Yarrowia lipolytica: one gene and its partner. The protein of the gene in region 1 interacts with the protein of each later gene in a pairwise test. Links are inferred from orthologs where the notes say so. Each region holds a gene or a part of one and is shown on either strand. Other genes may lie near its edges.

What was found.
Region 2: the proteins of YALI1_C17820g (region 1) and YALI1_A20855g interact in binary tests that used the Schizosaccharomyces pombe proteins (3 or more experiments, as listed by UniProt). The link is inferred for Yarrowia lipolytica from reciprocal best matches to the Schizosaccharomyces pombe genes cdc10 and res2.

The regions. Positions count from the first base shown.
Region 1 is NC_090772.1:1,778,648-1,785,935, reverse strand, and holds YALI1_C17820g (uncharacterized protein), read right to left. Parts: upstream 3,912-7,288; coding exon 1,716-3,911; downstream 1-1,715. Other genes in the region: YALI1_C17848g (uncharacterized protein), read right to left, coding at 1-354, 997-1,106; YALI1_C17800g (uncharacterized protein), read left to right, coding at 5,913-7,064. UniProt on the Schizosaccharomyces pombe protein: Major component of the cell cycle transcription factor complex MBF (MCB binding factor, also known as DSC1), that controls G1-S phase specific gene expression. Involved in the control of rRNA production, via interaction with pol5.
Region 2 is NC_090770.1:2,082,836-2,089,352, reverse strand, and holds YALI1_A20855g (uncharacterized protein), read right to left. Parts: upstream 3,918-6,517; coding exon 2,019-3,917; downstream 1-2,018. Other genes in the region: YALI1_A20902g (uncharacterized protein), read left to right, coding at 1-403; YALI1_A20884g (uncharacterized protein), read left to right, coding at 973-1,932; YALI1_A20849g (uncharacterized protein), read left to right, coding at 4,382-4,384, 4,482-4,868; YALI1_A20839g (uncharacterized protein), read left to right, coding at 5,302-5,411, 5,460-5,829.

The sequences.
Region 1 (7,288 bases):
GCCACGTGGTCGAAAAAGTACACACTGGGGTTCTTGGGCATCTTGGTGGTCTTGAGAGTAAAGAGATCGTTGGAGTCGCAGTATTTTTTGCCATTGTAGGTGAAGAAGATGTCGCACTCGGATTCCTGGCTGTCGCCGAGCTGGTAGAAGGTCTCAATCAGAGGAGATTCTCGCCGGAAGGCCAGGGCGGCGTCGGTCAGAGATTTCTGGAAGTCGGAGATCTCGCTTTTGGAGGCCGCAAAGGCCGTCAGGTTGTCGTACCATTCCTTGTCGGTATAATTGGCACCATCCTCGACCTGTTCGGCAATGTGATTGATGAAATCAAAGTAGGTGTGTTCAGTTGAAAGGGTTTCACTGGGTTAGAAAGGCGATGGACAATTTTGTCGACAGCCAACAGAATATCGGCAGCTCGTACGTTAATGGTGACAGAGTCTTGAGATCAGCTTTTTGTCAGTCCAGCGAGGGGGAGACCATTTGCTGGTGTGAACTCCGGTGATGATCTTTAGCGCGAACTTGTCAGGTAGAGAGAAATAGTACTCTCCATCGAATCTACCGGAGGTCGTCGGGGAGCAGGATCTAATGAACCGGGTTGGTTCGTATCTCCGATAACAATCGTCTGACCTTGGATCCATACCGTCCATTGGTGCCAGGATGGTAGACACAGGCCAATATCGGTCCGGGGATTTGCTTGTCTACACTGATCGCCTCTTCCATGGCTGAGTCACTCAACATTTAACACAATCACCCAAGTACTGTCTCTGTCCAATAACCTGCTAAGGTCATCGTCGTAGTCAGAGCTCTCCGAGGCCATCATTTAGATCCAGATTGCCTGACTCAAGTCGCTCATGTACCTTGGACTGTCGCACATACTGGGTCCTGTGTGACATGTAGTCTTGGACACTGGTATTGGCCACCACTAATTGATCCAGTCCACTGCCAGAACTCATAGCCAAACCAAACACGCAAGATCGCCGCCCTGCCATGCTCGATACTCACACTAATTCCAGCAGAAAGTCACTCTGCCATTGAGCCTTGAGCTCGACCGTCACGTTGGCAGCCACGCTGGACGCAAAGAGCGCCGCGGCGGCATACTTCAACAGTTTCATGATGCTGATATGACAAGTAGTGAAAGTAGCAGACAAGAGACTCTGTCGAGGCTGGTATACGCACCATCGCCAAATCTTAATCTCGCTTATGCATGTGTTGTCCTTGGAAAAAGTGGGGGCGTCGGAAAATGGCGATTATTGTAATACAAAGGTGAGGTTTTTTGGTACCATTAGAATGGTGTTGATTGGAATATCCAGAATCTGCTTTCAAATTCTTTCTATATCCTCTACATCCCAATATAAAGACACCCCATGTCCTAAATAAACTCCAACTATATGTACTTAGTAACAGGGGTCCTGCGGGGCAACAATAGACAGCCAGGGAAAAGGGAAGGCAGACGCAGAGTTGTTTCATTCGAGATGAGGGCGTGAAAGACGTCAGTGTCGGTAGCCACGACTGTATCGACCTTTTATATTCTCTATTATTCTACACAGCATTGTGGAGTGTATGTTGGTATGTTGATATCTTTCCTACTGGTACGACGCCAGTGCCATCTCATTAACATAATTTCATTAGCCGTGATTATATAAAAATTACACACGATTATACACTGAGAACAGCCCATACCGTGAGCTGTTTGTTTCTTTTCAAAACGAAAATTGATGCAGTCATGCCTGCTGAGGAGGCTCCAACTTTCTCAGGAAACCAGCCACCCGGTTGATGTCGACCTCCCCTGAATCACTCTCCACTGCCTGGACAAGACCCTCCAGCAGCTCGTCCACCTTATCCTCGGCAACACCAGTGGACAGAGCAATGACCCGTCGGAACTTGTGTTCCAGCTCGGTCGATCTGCCTCTGAGCTCTCCAGACGTTCGCTCCAGCTCAGCCTGGTTCTTTCGGTACGCTCGCACACGAGCCTGAAGGACTTGCTGGGAGGGGACCTCAATCGAGTTCATCTCCTGCACAGACCACTCCTTGTCTCGAGGAGCCTGGAACAATGCACGAGTTCGGAACGGCTGGTCAGCGTCAAAGTTACCCTCGAAAGACATATTAGCACCGCCGGAATGCGCCTGGAACTTGGCATCTTCGTCGTGAAGAGCCCGCTCAAGGTTAGTTGCTCGCTTCAGCATTGCGTCTCGCTTGGAAGAAAGGTTCTTGAGGTGCTCAAGTCGCTGTCGAGCCTCGGAAAGTGCATTGGTAGCTCCCCTGAGCTCGGCATGAGCCTGTTCAGCCGCTCGAGTTCGTCCAGCCATCTCAGACGAGAAATCCGTGTCCAGACCCTCGATCGACGAGATGATCGTCTGCAGAATATCCTTAGACCGCGTCTCGGCATTTGCAGAGAAGCCCACTCGTTCTCCTGACCGCGAGAGCATGGGTTTAACCTCGGCAAGGTTGATAGTGACGCCGAAATCAACAGGTCGAAGTCCAGCTCGATTGGGAATCATGGGATCTGCACCAACCTCAATCAGCTGGGTCACGATCGCACGATTTCCGACTCGAGCAGCAATGTTCAACGCAGTATCACCGTACTTGTCCTGAGCGTTGACAATCTCCTGCATAAATCTCGCCAAAGAGAACCGGATTCGCTTCGGCGACGTCCCCCGTCGCACAATCCACTCGAGCAGACACTCAAGGTAGTACTTTGCAGCTGCTGCTCTGCCTCTGATACCAGCAGTCAGGGCAATGTGATGCAGAAGAGTTCGGTTCTGCTTATCTAGTAGGGGGATGGCTGGGTAAATGATATCCAGCATCTGGGGGAAGGTGCCGGAGTCAAAGTTGTTGGTCACAAGGATAGCTCGAACTAGCGCCGTCTCGCCAGCGTAGTTGGCTCGTCGTCGGTCAGCTCCATGCATGACCAGAGCCCGTACAACATCCACTCGGGCCAAGGCAGCAGCCCAATGAAGAGCAGCATGTCCCATATCGTCAATGGGGACGTCAACGTTGATGGCCGGCGAGAAGCTCGTTGCTCCGTTGCCCATAAACAGCTGAGTCATGATATCTCGTGACGCGTCATTGTGTGCATCCGGAGGAAGAGGGTCCATAGGGAGGTTCGTCGGGGAGAACAGGTCTGCTGTGGGAAGGTTTTCGTCGAATTCCAGAGTGTGGTTGGGTTGCTGCTGCTGCTGTTGTTGTTGTTGCTGTTGTTGAACCATGTGTCCTGGAGTACTCTGGTGGCCTTGGGGGCCCTGATTTTGAGGGCCACCATGTCCGTGTCCGTTAGTTTCCGACTTGAAACGCTTGGCTGGAGGAGACGCTGAGTCTGTGCCTGGAGTGCCAATCTGAGGAGTGCCCATATTAGACATGCTGGGTGAGCCACTCATGTTGCTCATGGAGTTGTTGCCGAGCATGGAAAGTGCTCTTTCGGCAGACACAGAGAGAGGGGTGTGTGTTTGGGGAAGCTGCAGGGGTTGCGCCAGAGGCATGTCCATTCGGCTCTGCTGCTTGGTAGCGACGATCCGTTTTCGGCGGGCTGCCATGGCCTGTTCCTTGGTAGGTGTGTAGTCTCCGACTTGGGCGGGATCAAAAGCTAGCAGCGGCTGCAGCACGTCGTAGACTGAGTACTGTCGGCACAGATCGACGCCTCGCTCGTAAGGGATCCATGTTCCCTGGTACTTTCCGTAGCCTCCCTGGACCTTTTCGTGGGCGCCGGTGAGGATCTCCTTTTCGAGAATCTTGGTTCGTTTGGACTTCTCCACGCCGGCCACCTTGAGGATTTGGGTAGCGTTGAGCGACGAGTCTGTGCGTCGTCTCATGACGGCCACGTCGTTGGCCATCATTTCAAACACCTGGATTCCGGAGTAAACGGCGGTGTACAATTCTGGCGACATGCCAGGTGTGGAGGATTCGTGTTTCACGTCGGGCATGGTTGTGGATGAACAATGGTCTTTGTCGCCTGTAGCGTGTCGTGAACGTCTTTGAGCGTCAGTTTTTCTGGGGCAAACAGATGTGGTGTGAATGCAGTTGTGAAAAAATACAAGTCGGCGAGTCTAGCGGAGCTCGAGCAAAGTCGCAGTCGTGTAGCTAGCTCTTCTCTGTCCAGAGGTGGTTCTGAGCGCTTCTTTTTCTGTCGGTACCTCAGGGCACTGTCGTGGAGCAAGGGTGTACAGGGTTTTGTGGAGCTGGTTTTAGCGTCACGGGAATGATCGGTCGTGGGAAAACGCTGGTTGTATGGCGCTAGTTGCGAGGGCCGTGTCTGTGTCGCTGTAGACGTGTCGCTAGAGCCGTGGAATGGGGTGTATTACTGGCACAGTATCGTCTCGGCCGTGTCGTCGTGCAGAGAGTCACGATTGCAAGTTAAACTCAGGCGCGTAGGAGGGTAACGCGTGATTGGGAGGCAGGCCCAAAAACCCATGGACACAAAAAAGACAAGCCCAGCGGGCGACAGAGCCGAGCCGCGGGAGACACACACATATATATACTTTGGTTTCTGCTCTGTGTCGCGCCCCCAAAATATTTCGCATTCAGTCACAAACGCCCTGTCGTAGCTCCCTCCACTAACCCACCCATTCAGCACACTTGCTCACTCTATTTTGGCGGCTTATTCGTGCATGGGAAGTATAAGTAGCAAGAGTTGCCGAGGGGAGCTGTGGGGGGCGGGGGAAGAGGTGGCGCGAATAAAAGAAGTAGATGGGGCTCGGCACGACTGCCCGAGCATTTCAAGACTCTTCTCTTGTTTCTAGCGTGATTATTGGACATGTTGGAGCCGCTTTTCTTCCATTCAATTAGTGATAGCATAACCAACAAACCTGAGGTAATTATCTTGATGAAAAGAGACAAAATCTGGGAGGAGATTGCATCATAAGAGAGAGATATTTGACATCTACCAGAAACTTATTTTTTCCCTGTTTTTCTCGCGGTTTTTCGATATTTTGGCAATTTTTCCATTTCTCTCCTCCACAAATAACCCCGCAAATGGAAACACCTAACCCGTTATTGGTTTTGGCGTTGCAACTCTAAAAGTCCTGTGTTGGGCTGAGATCGGCAAAACCCGTGTAGAAAAGCCGATACAAGAGATACCGGGCGTCGAGTCGGCGGAGACCGAGTAGAGCGGGTCACGTGAAGGCAATTTCCGTTTTCCCGTTTTTCAATATCTCCACTGATGCGTCCATTTATAACCGTTTATTAAGGGTCAAGCCTAGATTGTATTACGTAAGTGGGTGGGAAGAGGCAGGCAGCGTAGGGTAGCAGAATAGGAGATAGTTGTACGGCAACTTGAGCTGAGCTTTATCATGGGGCTTTTTAGAGGGAGTTCCTTCGACTTGAGTCGCTTTCGTGGTCTTAACCTCTCAGAAATGCCGTTCTGAACGCTCAATGTTGTATTGTAAAAGTACAATTTTTTTTTCTGCATATACATTCATTTAATTATAACTTTGCTGTGAAAGAATAACCTTTGAAATGAATGTTCACGAATATTACTAATTAGTACAGTACATATTGTACAGCTACTTACTGTATGATGGTTAACTAGGGAGGAGGGTATATCTCCAAGTACTTGTACAAGTAGACACAAAAGTGATCAAAACACACGCCAGAGGAGAGTCACGTGACGAAAATAAAACGTCCGGGACCCCACGATCTTCACGGCGTCGTAACATGTCTTCGTATGTTCATGTTTGGGGATATGATGGTACTTTGTATGTTGATTGCAGTGGTCAGTTGGTCGAGATTTTCCTGAGATACGATGTACCTACTGTACATACTAGTACCACCACGCGGAGTTGTCAAGGTTATCAGTTGTCATCCTGTTGAATATAAAACGATATCATGTTGTTCCTTACAACTCGTAGACTTCTGAAATGTAAATATCGTACCTCTTACACCACTATTGCACCCACTATTTCCACTCCTCACCCCCACGTTCCACCATGTGCCACTTGAACTCAATTGCTATCTATACATACGATGCTGATACACGCCACACAACCTCTACAACTACTCCAGCAGCTGAAATGACGACTCCGGCTTCTTTGAAACCAATCACGCCGTACCTGGCCAAGGCCAAGGAGACGCAGACGGCGGACCCCATCATCTCGTACCATTGCAAGTTGTACGCGGCGCAGCAGATTGTCGACCAGGGTCTGCATCAGAAAGACACAGAAGCCGCCATCTTCACCGGGAATTTGCTGGACGAGATTGAGAAGCTCAAGGAGGAGGATCCGGTTCTGGTGTCGGAGAAGGGCCAGGCTGTTATCAGTGACGACACGGTGGCCAGCTCGTATGTGGAGGCTTTTGCCCTGAAGATCTTTGCCCGGGCAGACAAGCAGGTGCGGGACAAGACGAGCACCAAGGCCACGGCGCAGATGTTCTTTGCCGCGGCCACCTTCTTTGAGGTGGTCAAGCTGTTTGGAGAGCTGGACAAGGACGTTGTCGATAAGATCAAGTATGCCAAGTTCCACGCCGCTCGAATCCTCAGAACTCTCAAGGCCGGAGAAGACCCCAACGAATTCACTGTCGAGGACGAGGACGACGTTATCGACAACGCCATTGATGACGGAAACGAAGATACTGCTCCAAAACAACCAACCACAGAAGAGGAGGAGGCAGAGCTGCCCGAGGAGGAACAAATCAAAAGAATGATGGCGGAGATGAAGAAGGAAGCTGGCGTTGACGACGGTGCTGACTCTGTGGATCCTTTCGACAAGAGATTGTCTCCGAAAGAGGTTTCAATTCACGCCTCCAAGGCACTATCATCTCACGATAATGACGACCCCCTATCGAGCATTCCTCCTGCACCTCCGACTTTTCTTCCCGAAGACAACACTCCTCCTGCTCCTCCTTCCAACCCCCCCGGAGACGTGGCTCCTCCCAAACCCACTCTTCCCAGCCCGCAGCGAAAGGTGTCGTCGCCTGCAAAGATTGTGGCCAAACCAGTCGACCCCAAGACTGTGTTGGACGAAGACGCTCTGATCAAACAGGCCCAGAAACACGCCAAGTTTGCCATTTCCGCCCTCAACTACGAGGACAAGGAGACAGCATTGAAAGAGCTTCAGGCCGCCATGGATCTGCTATCGGCATGACCCCACTCACATAGAGATTATGATTGATGAATGATGATGTTTTTATCCACACTAGTTGACATTTATCGGAGCGGACTTAACCAACTTAAAGTCAAATAGAGCTCCAGTATACCACAATTTATATCCCTCGTTTTTGCCGAGTTCAAGTATCCGCGCGAATCTCCGTTTTTCCCCACAGTGTGGGTGGAACGAGAAAATATATATATATATATTTCAAAAATAAT
Region 2 (6,517 bases), on another chromosome or scaffold:
CCTGTTTGAAGGAAGATGGGGCAATGACAGAGACAGCCGTGACAACCGGTCCCTGTCGCCAGTCTCTCGAATGCGGGAGGGCGACAGAAACAGAAACAGAAACAGACGAGATCGATCGACCTCGCCCTGGAGAAAAGGCGACCGGATGGATGTCGACGATCAGGATATCCGAACACGGCTGGATCTTCCTAGAGAGAGCCGGTCTTCGCGACAGAGAGAAAACCAAAAACGAGAGAGACGACGGGACGATGCTTCACAGGATATCGCCTCCAGACTCGATACTGACATGGACGGAGAAGACAACAAGGATCTGGCGTCACGGTTCCAGCCTCGAGATGAGAGAGACAAGGGCGGACGTCGAAGAGGAGGAGGCCGACGACGGGCCCATGAGCTGTTTGGCTAACAATTGTATTTTAAGGGAGACTGGTAAGGGTATGGTGATAATAAAATTATTGAAACTTGGACAGAATGAGAATGTCGGTAGTGTTCACACTGTACTATGGCTGTGTATTTTAATGTAGTTACTGTTGTGTACAACTATGTACTATTGCTGTATGTACTGGATGCGTACTGTACCGTAGTTGTGACCATGATTGCGTACTTATTGCACTCTTAATCTGATTACTTGACGTTGGTACTCCAGGTTAGATAAACTTTACTAATACCCAGATCACGGCATGCAGCTTGGTGACGGTTAGACCTTTTCTGATTACATACAACATGGATGGATTAATTGCCAAATACCTCCAAGATAAGGGATACACCAATGTGAGTGATGCGACGGCGCAATCGTTCTCCCTTTGATACTAACCCAGACCCTGGCTGCTTTTGAAGAGGAGTGTGATATCAAAGATGAACCTGTCACCATTGAAGAGTGAGTACGATATAGACGAAATAGTGCTTTCAAGTGACAAACCCGATGTTGTCCTCTCGTGGCGTACATCCTTTCTCTGCCTTTTCTAACCCAGATTGATGACCTACCTGCCGAAAAAGGAACAGAAAGACGACAATGTAGTCACGGAGGAAGACGTCACCCTGACTGTGCTGTCAACCAAGTCGAAAAACATGATTGTGGACACAAAGCTCATCGGTGGCAGAGTTGTCACTACAGATTCGACCAAGAACTTGACCTTTTACAATACTACTCTTCTGGAAGTCAAGAACCTCACCTTACCGGCTGTAGGACGAGTCATCGTTGCTGGAGCCAATAACACCACTCTGGTGGGATGCATGGATGGATCCATTGTCCAGGTGGATTCAGAATACAAACCCAGCAGTTTCAAGCCACATTCTCGGTTTGTCGGAGGAATCTCTGTTTCTGAAGATGGACTGATTGCGTCCATTGGCTTCGATAAAAAGGTGGTGGTCACGAAGCAGGTTGGCTTTGAACAGGTGGCGTTCATTGACTCACTGACTAACCCCACAGCGATTGCATGGACTCGTAATGGGCTGGCTGTGTCTCGAGAAGACTGTACCTCGATTCAACTTCTCTCCGACCAATTGGAGAAGCTCAGAACTATTCCTCTGGTCGATGCCCACTATATGCCCCACTCATTCACCGTGTTTGACATGGTCTACAACAACGATACCAAGGAGATTGCCTGTCTCACAAGCCATACGCCCTACGCAAGGGTCATTATTGTCAAGTCTGACGACACTGTTGTTTCCTTCCCTACTTTGATTCCTCAAGACAAGTACAGTCTGGGACGCCTTAGTTGGTTGGACGAGAAGACTCTCGCCATTGCTGGAGACGACGGCTCGGTGCGACTGCTCAACCAGACTACGTGGCGAAAGATAAACGTGGCAGGTTCGAGATTGCGATGCATTAGTGCTGGTGATGGCTACGTTGCCACTGCCAGCATTGATAAGGAGATTGAACTAATACAGATCGAGTCTCTGGGAGATGATCTTGCGGGGCTAAAGCTCGAATAAACAACCAAATATTGCTGTCAGATTACATACACAAGTAGATAACCTCGTAGTGTACATTAAATTACATCGTCCTAGACCGACCCATACTATCTCTCTCCCTCAAGCAGAGCCTTCTCGATTCCATCAAGAAGCCCGTCGATATCCTCCACCTTGACACCGCAGCTCATGGCCACCAGCCGTCTGTACTCGTTCATCTTCTCGCCAACCCCGGCATTGGCGAACAGCTCTACCACGTCGTCCACAAGATCCTTCCGTCCATGCTGGAGGTCTGTCAGCTCCTTGGCGGTCTTGAACTCGCCCTTGGTCTGTTCACGCGATATCTCCCGCTCCTCCTCGGCAACAAGCATGGCAAGGCCCTTCGCCTGTGACCGCTCGAACACCTTGCGTAGCTGGTTCACCCGTGTAGTCACACGCTCTTCAGCCTCAGAGGCAAGTTTCTCGAGCTCCTCGGCGGTGCCATGTTTGGCCTCATACTCCCGGATCGCCTCGTTGGTAGCGGCAATGTCTTCCTCCATCTTGGTGGCCATCTGGCGCACCTGTTGCACGTCGGCGTCCTTCTCCTTGAGCTCGGCATCAAAGGCGTGAGCCAACACTTGCAGGTTGTGCACTACGGTTCCGGCAAGATTGTGTGCGGCAATGGCAGTTTCGCTCTCGTGCAGCATCTGGTAGGGAGGCTGATGGTGGAGTGCCATGGCGGGCGGCGGGTGTTGCTGCATCTGTCTGTCGCCCTCCAGCAGATCCAGCGCAGTTCGACCGTCGGCATTGACGATATCTGTCTTGACATTGAAGTCCATGAGGGCACGGGACACCTTTTTGGCACCTGAACGGGCGAGAATATGCAGGGCGGTGTCGCCCTCGTTGTTCTGCGTGTCCATGAATTGTGACAGTACGCCTAGAGAGTGGTTCTCGCTAATTTTTGACAGCAAGATAGTCACGTAGTACTTGGCCGCGGACTGCGACTTGCTCACGTGCTGGGCAATGTGGTGAAGCACGGTTCTGCCCTGGCCGTCCACCTGAAACAGGGTGTCTTGCAAGATGTCCACCACTTTAGGGAAGGTTCTTCGGTCGTAGTTGTTAGTAAACATGATGGCCCTCGTCAAAGGTGTCTGGCCAAACATGTTGGTGGCTCGCACGTCCGATCCGGCCTTGAGCAGCAGCTCAATCACCCGCAGGTGGCCCATGGCACAAGCCCAATGCAACGCTGTATGGCCCTCCTCGTCAATGGGTCTGTGCACATCAAACTCTGCAGGTGGGTTTTCCAGGAACGCGGGGATCTTCTCGTCGTCAGCAGACACGAAGTAGTTGAGCAGGTCGTTGGTGTACAGATCCTTGGGGTCCCGTACCTGTATTGGCTTGGGCTTGGCCATCATGGGTCGAGGGTAGTTACCCATTTGTCGGTCAACTTCTTCATCGGACATGAAGTCGGACGAATCGTCAGCAACTGTGGGAGGCGATGGAGTCACGTGGTCGCTGTCGTCCAGTCCGTAAGACTGGGCCAGTTGGCTGAGAGACGACTGTCTAGAGTGTTGTGGAGTGCCTCCCATGGTGGATCCCGTTGACTGGGTGAGAGTCTCCATGCGACTGGGCTGGCGAACCAGAGGCGATCCCGTCACCTTGGTCCGCTTCTTGCGCTCCAGATTGGGTCTGTGTTTCGGTGCGGGAGGAGGTGAGCCATCCTCGTCGTCGTAGTTGAAGATGGGCGCAAGGTGTGAATCAACGTCGTACAGCGTGGCAATCTCTCTGGCCCGCTCCAGGGGGACCCACGTGCCCTGGTACTTGCCGTAGCCGCCCTGGACCTTTTCATGGACGCCCTTCTGGACCTCCTTTTCCAGAATCCGCGTTCGCTGAGGCTTGTCGAAGCCAGCGACCTTGAGGATGTGGGTAGCGTTGACCCAGCCGTCGGATTTGCGCCGCATCACGGCCACATTCTTACACTGGAACTCGTAGACGGGCACGCCCGAATACGTTGCTTTGTAGATGGACATGGTCGCGTAGTGCGTCGTCGTGTCGCGTTGGCGCAATAATGGGTTTCGGGTTTCGAGTTACCCTATGTGCTGTTTTGGACAACGAGAAAAGCCGTATGTGGGCTGGGTGTGCAGTATCGTAGCGAGGGTAATTTGGAGTCCCAGCTGGGAGGGAGCCAGATCAGCGGTTAGAGATATATAAATATATACTTGTTTGGCAGTGACAGAATGAATGTCGTGGGTGTGAGGGTTGCTTTTTTTTTTCTCTATATAAATCTCGTATGGCCTGCCCCTGGCGCTCCGCCTTACTTCTATTATCGTCTTATCCCTGCGGCAATTCCCAATTGGTGTGCACCTGAGTCCTTACAGCTCAGGTTACGTAATAGTTCCCACCACAAGCACACACCTAAACCATCATCACCCAACCCTAGCCCCAAAATATGCTTTTTCACCGCCAGCACCAACTGTCACCATAATCCACATCGATGGTGAGTATTGATACAGGCGTCCTGGGGCTCACGTGGGCCCCTCTCGATGCGATACGCACCGGCCCAACCGTGGGCAGACAGACCATGACTAACGCAGCTACCCTTATCCCTACTCAACGCAGCACAGGGTCAGCCCATGCTGGTGGAGCTCAAATCGGGCGAGTCCCTGAGAGGCCACCTGTTGAAATGTGACCACTGGATGAACCTCACGCTCAAGGAGGTCGAAGAGTTTTCTGCATCGGGCGAAAACACCGCCACCGTGTCCGAGTACTATGTACGAGGCTCCAACATCAAGGCTCTCCAGCTGCCAGACGAGCTACTGCACAGCATCAAGCAACAATACAGCCAGCAGCGGGAACAGCGACAGCGACAGCAGCAGCTGGAGCAGGGCGGCCAGTTTGGCAACCGACGAGGCAACCGAAACTACAACAACCAGAGCAACAACCCCAACCAGCGACAGCGAGGTGGAGGACGACGATATTAGACGTGTTTGTGTCCATGTTTGAACGCGAGCGCTGGCTACCGAAGGCCACGACCTTCCCCGATCTGCAGATGGCTACCATGTGTGAAGTTCCGCTTGATAGCCGCCATTCTGCCGATTAGTAATGTATTTTAGGAGATGATTGATCTAGGGGATTGTAGGTGGAGATAGTAGTAGCTGTAGACGAGTGGCGGTGATGGAATTGAGTACAATCGGCTTACGTAGGGGGACAGGCTTTGTACGTACTTGGATGATTTGGTTGCTTTCTCTGTGTCGCCACAAGTTCTCATTCGAATGTAAGTGATCACGTGGACAGAACTGTACCAGTACAAGTACAGGTGCCCGTGGAAGTAGCTTCTGTTGAGAGTTCCATTCTATTTTACAAGTAGTAATTGGTGGTGCCTGACTAGCTATAGAAGGAAACTTATCGTGGAACATGTGTGTGATAAAAAAGTTGGATGTTGGATCCTCGTCGTCGTTGAAAGTCTTTGTAGATGCATTACAATGGTTACCTTCTACCATCATACAACACCAATACCGATTCTTGTACACTCAGTGAGTTTCGGAGCAGAATTCTGTAGCTATTTACTGCAGTCCATTATCGCCATATTTGTTAGTTGCTACAGTATTGTACATACTTGTCATTGCTATCAGTCATACGAAGTCTAGCTATAGCAACCAAGTCTTCCACTGCCAGGTTGTGGTTGATATCTCTCGTATTCGTACCCGTGTGCTCGCGCGAATTGTTCTCAGATATCCGGTCATATGGAACTGCTCTAACTCCTACTCGCCGTCCTGCCACAAGCGACTGTTCGAGACTTTCACTTCACATCCAACGCAGAATAGTACGAAGTTACAGTTGCTCGGATTGCGGTGTTTATCTGGCTCGTCATGGGGTTTATATGAGGGGATCCCACAAGTAGACTATCACAGTGGTTTTAGAGGGAGGAAGGGTCCGTTGTGATTGCACGCAGTGGTTCATTGTACCTAAACTGATGTCATTGTTATCATCACTGGAGTCTACGACCCATCTATGTATGAAACGTGGTATGTACATACTGTAGCGAATGCACTGGCCATGGTCCGTCGGTCGGAAATTAAACGTCTCAATAATGTAGGAAATAACCATAAGCCATATGTTTAAAAGACTCTTGTGGTGTGTACCTCCGTAGAGCAATCTAAACGTTGGAGGAAGCTCTTCCGAGGCCCAGCTCGGTGGTCTTCTTCCCGATGTGTTGGATGTGGTCTGAAACTACAGTGTCTTGATAAGCATTCGGCGGTCAACTGTGTCGCGCATTTGGGAGGCTTGCCTCATGCTGCAAAGAGTAACGGTGCTGTACCCAAGCTTTGTATTTTCCTTTCTTATTATTCTACTCATTATTCTAACTCTCGTATGTACTGTACCTTGATGAAATATATATCGCGGTCTACTGTAGTCTACTGCTGTGGTCTGGCACAAGCAGGCCCAACCCAAATAGGCAGGAGGATTCCCAAAATAGCATAGCAAGGCAGACCCGAAAAACATAGCGCTTTTTGGCGAGCTCTTTTATCGATATTATATATGTTATGTTGCAGTGCTAGTTGAATTTTTTTTGCGCAGGCAAAAGCGGCGGTTTCGGTGGCCCCATTATTTCCGTCGAAACGGTAAACGT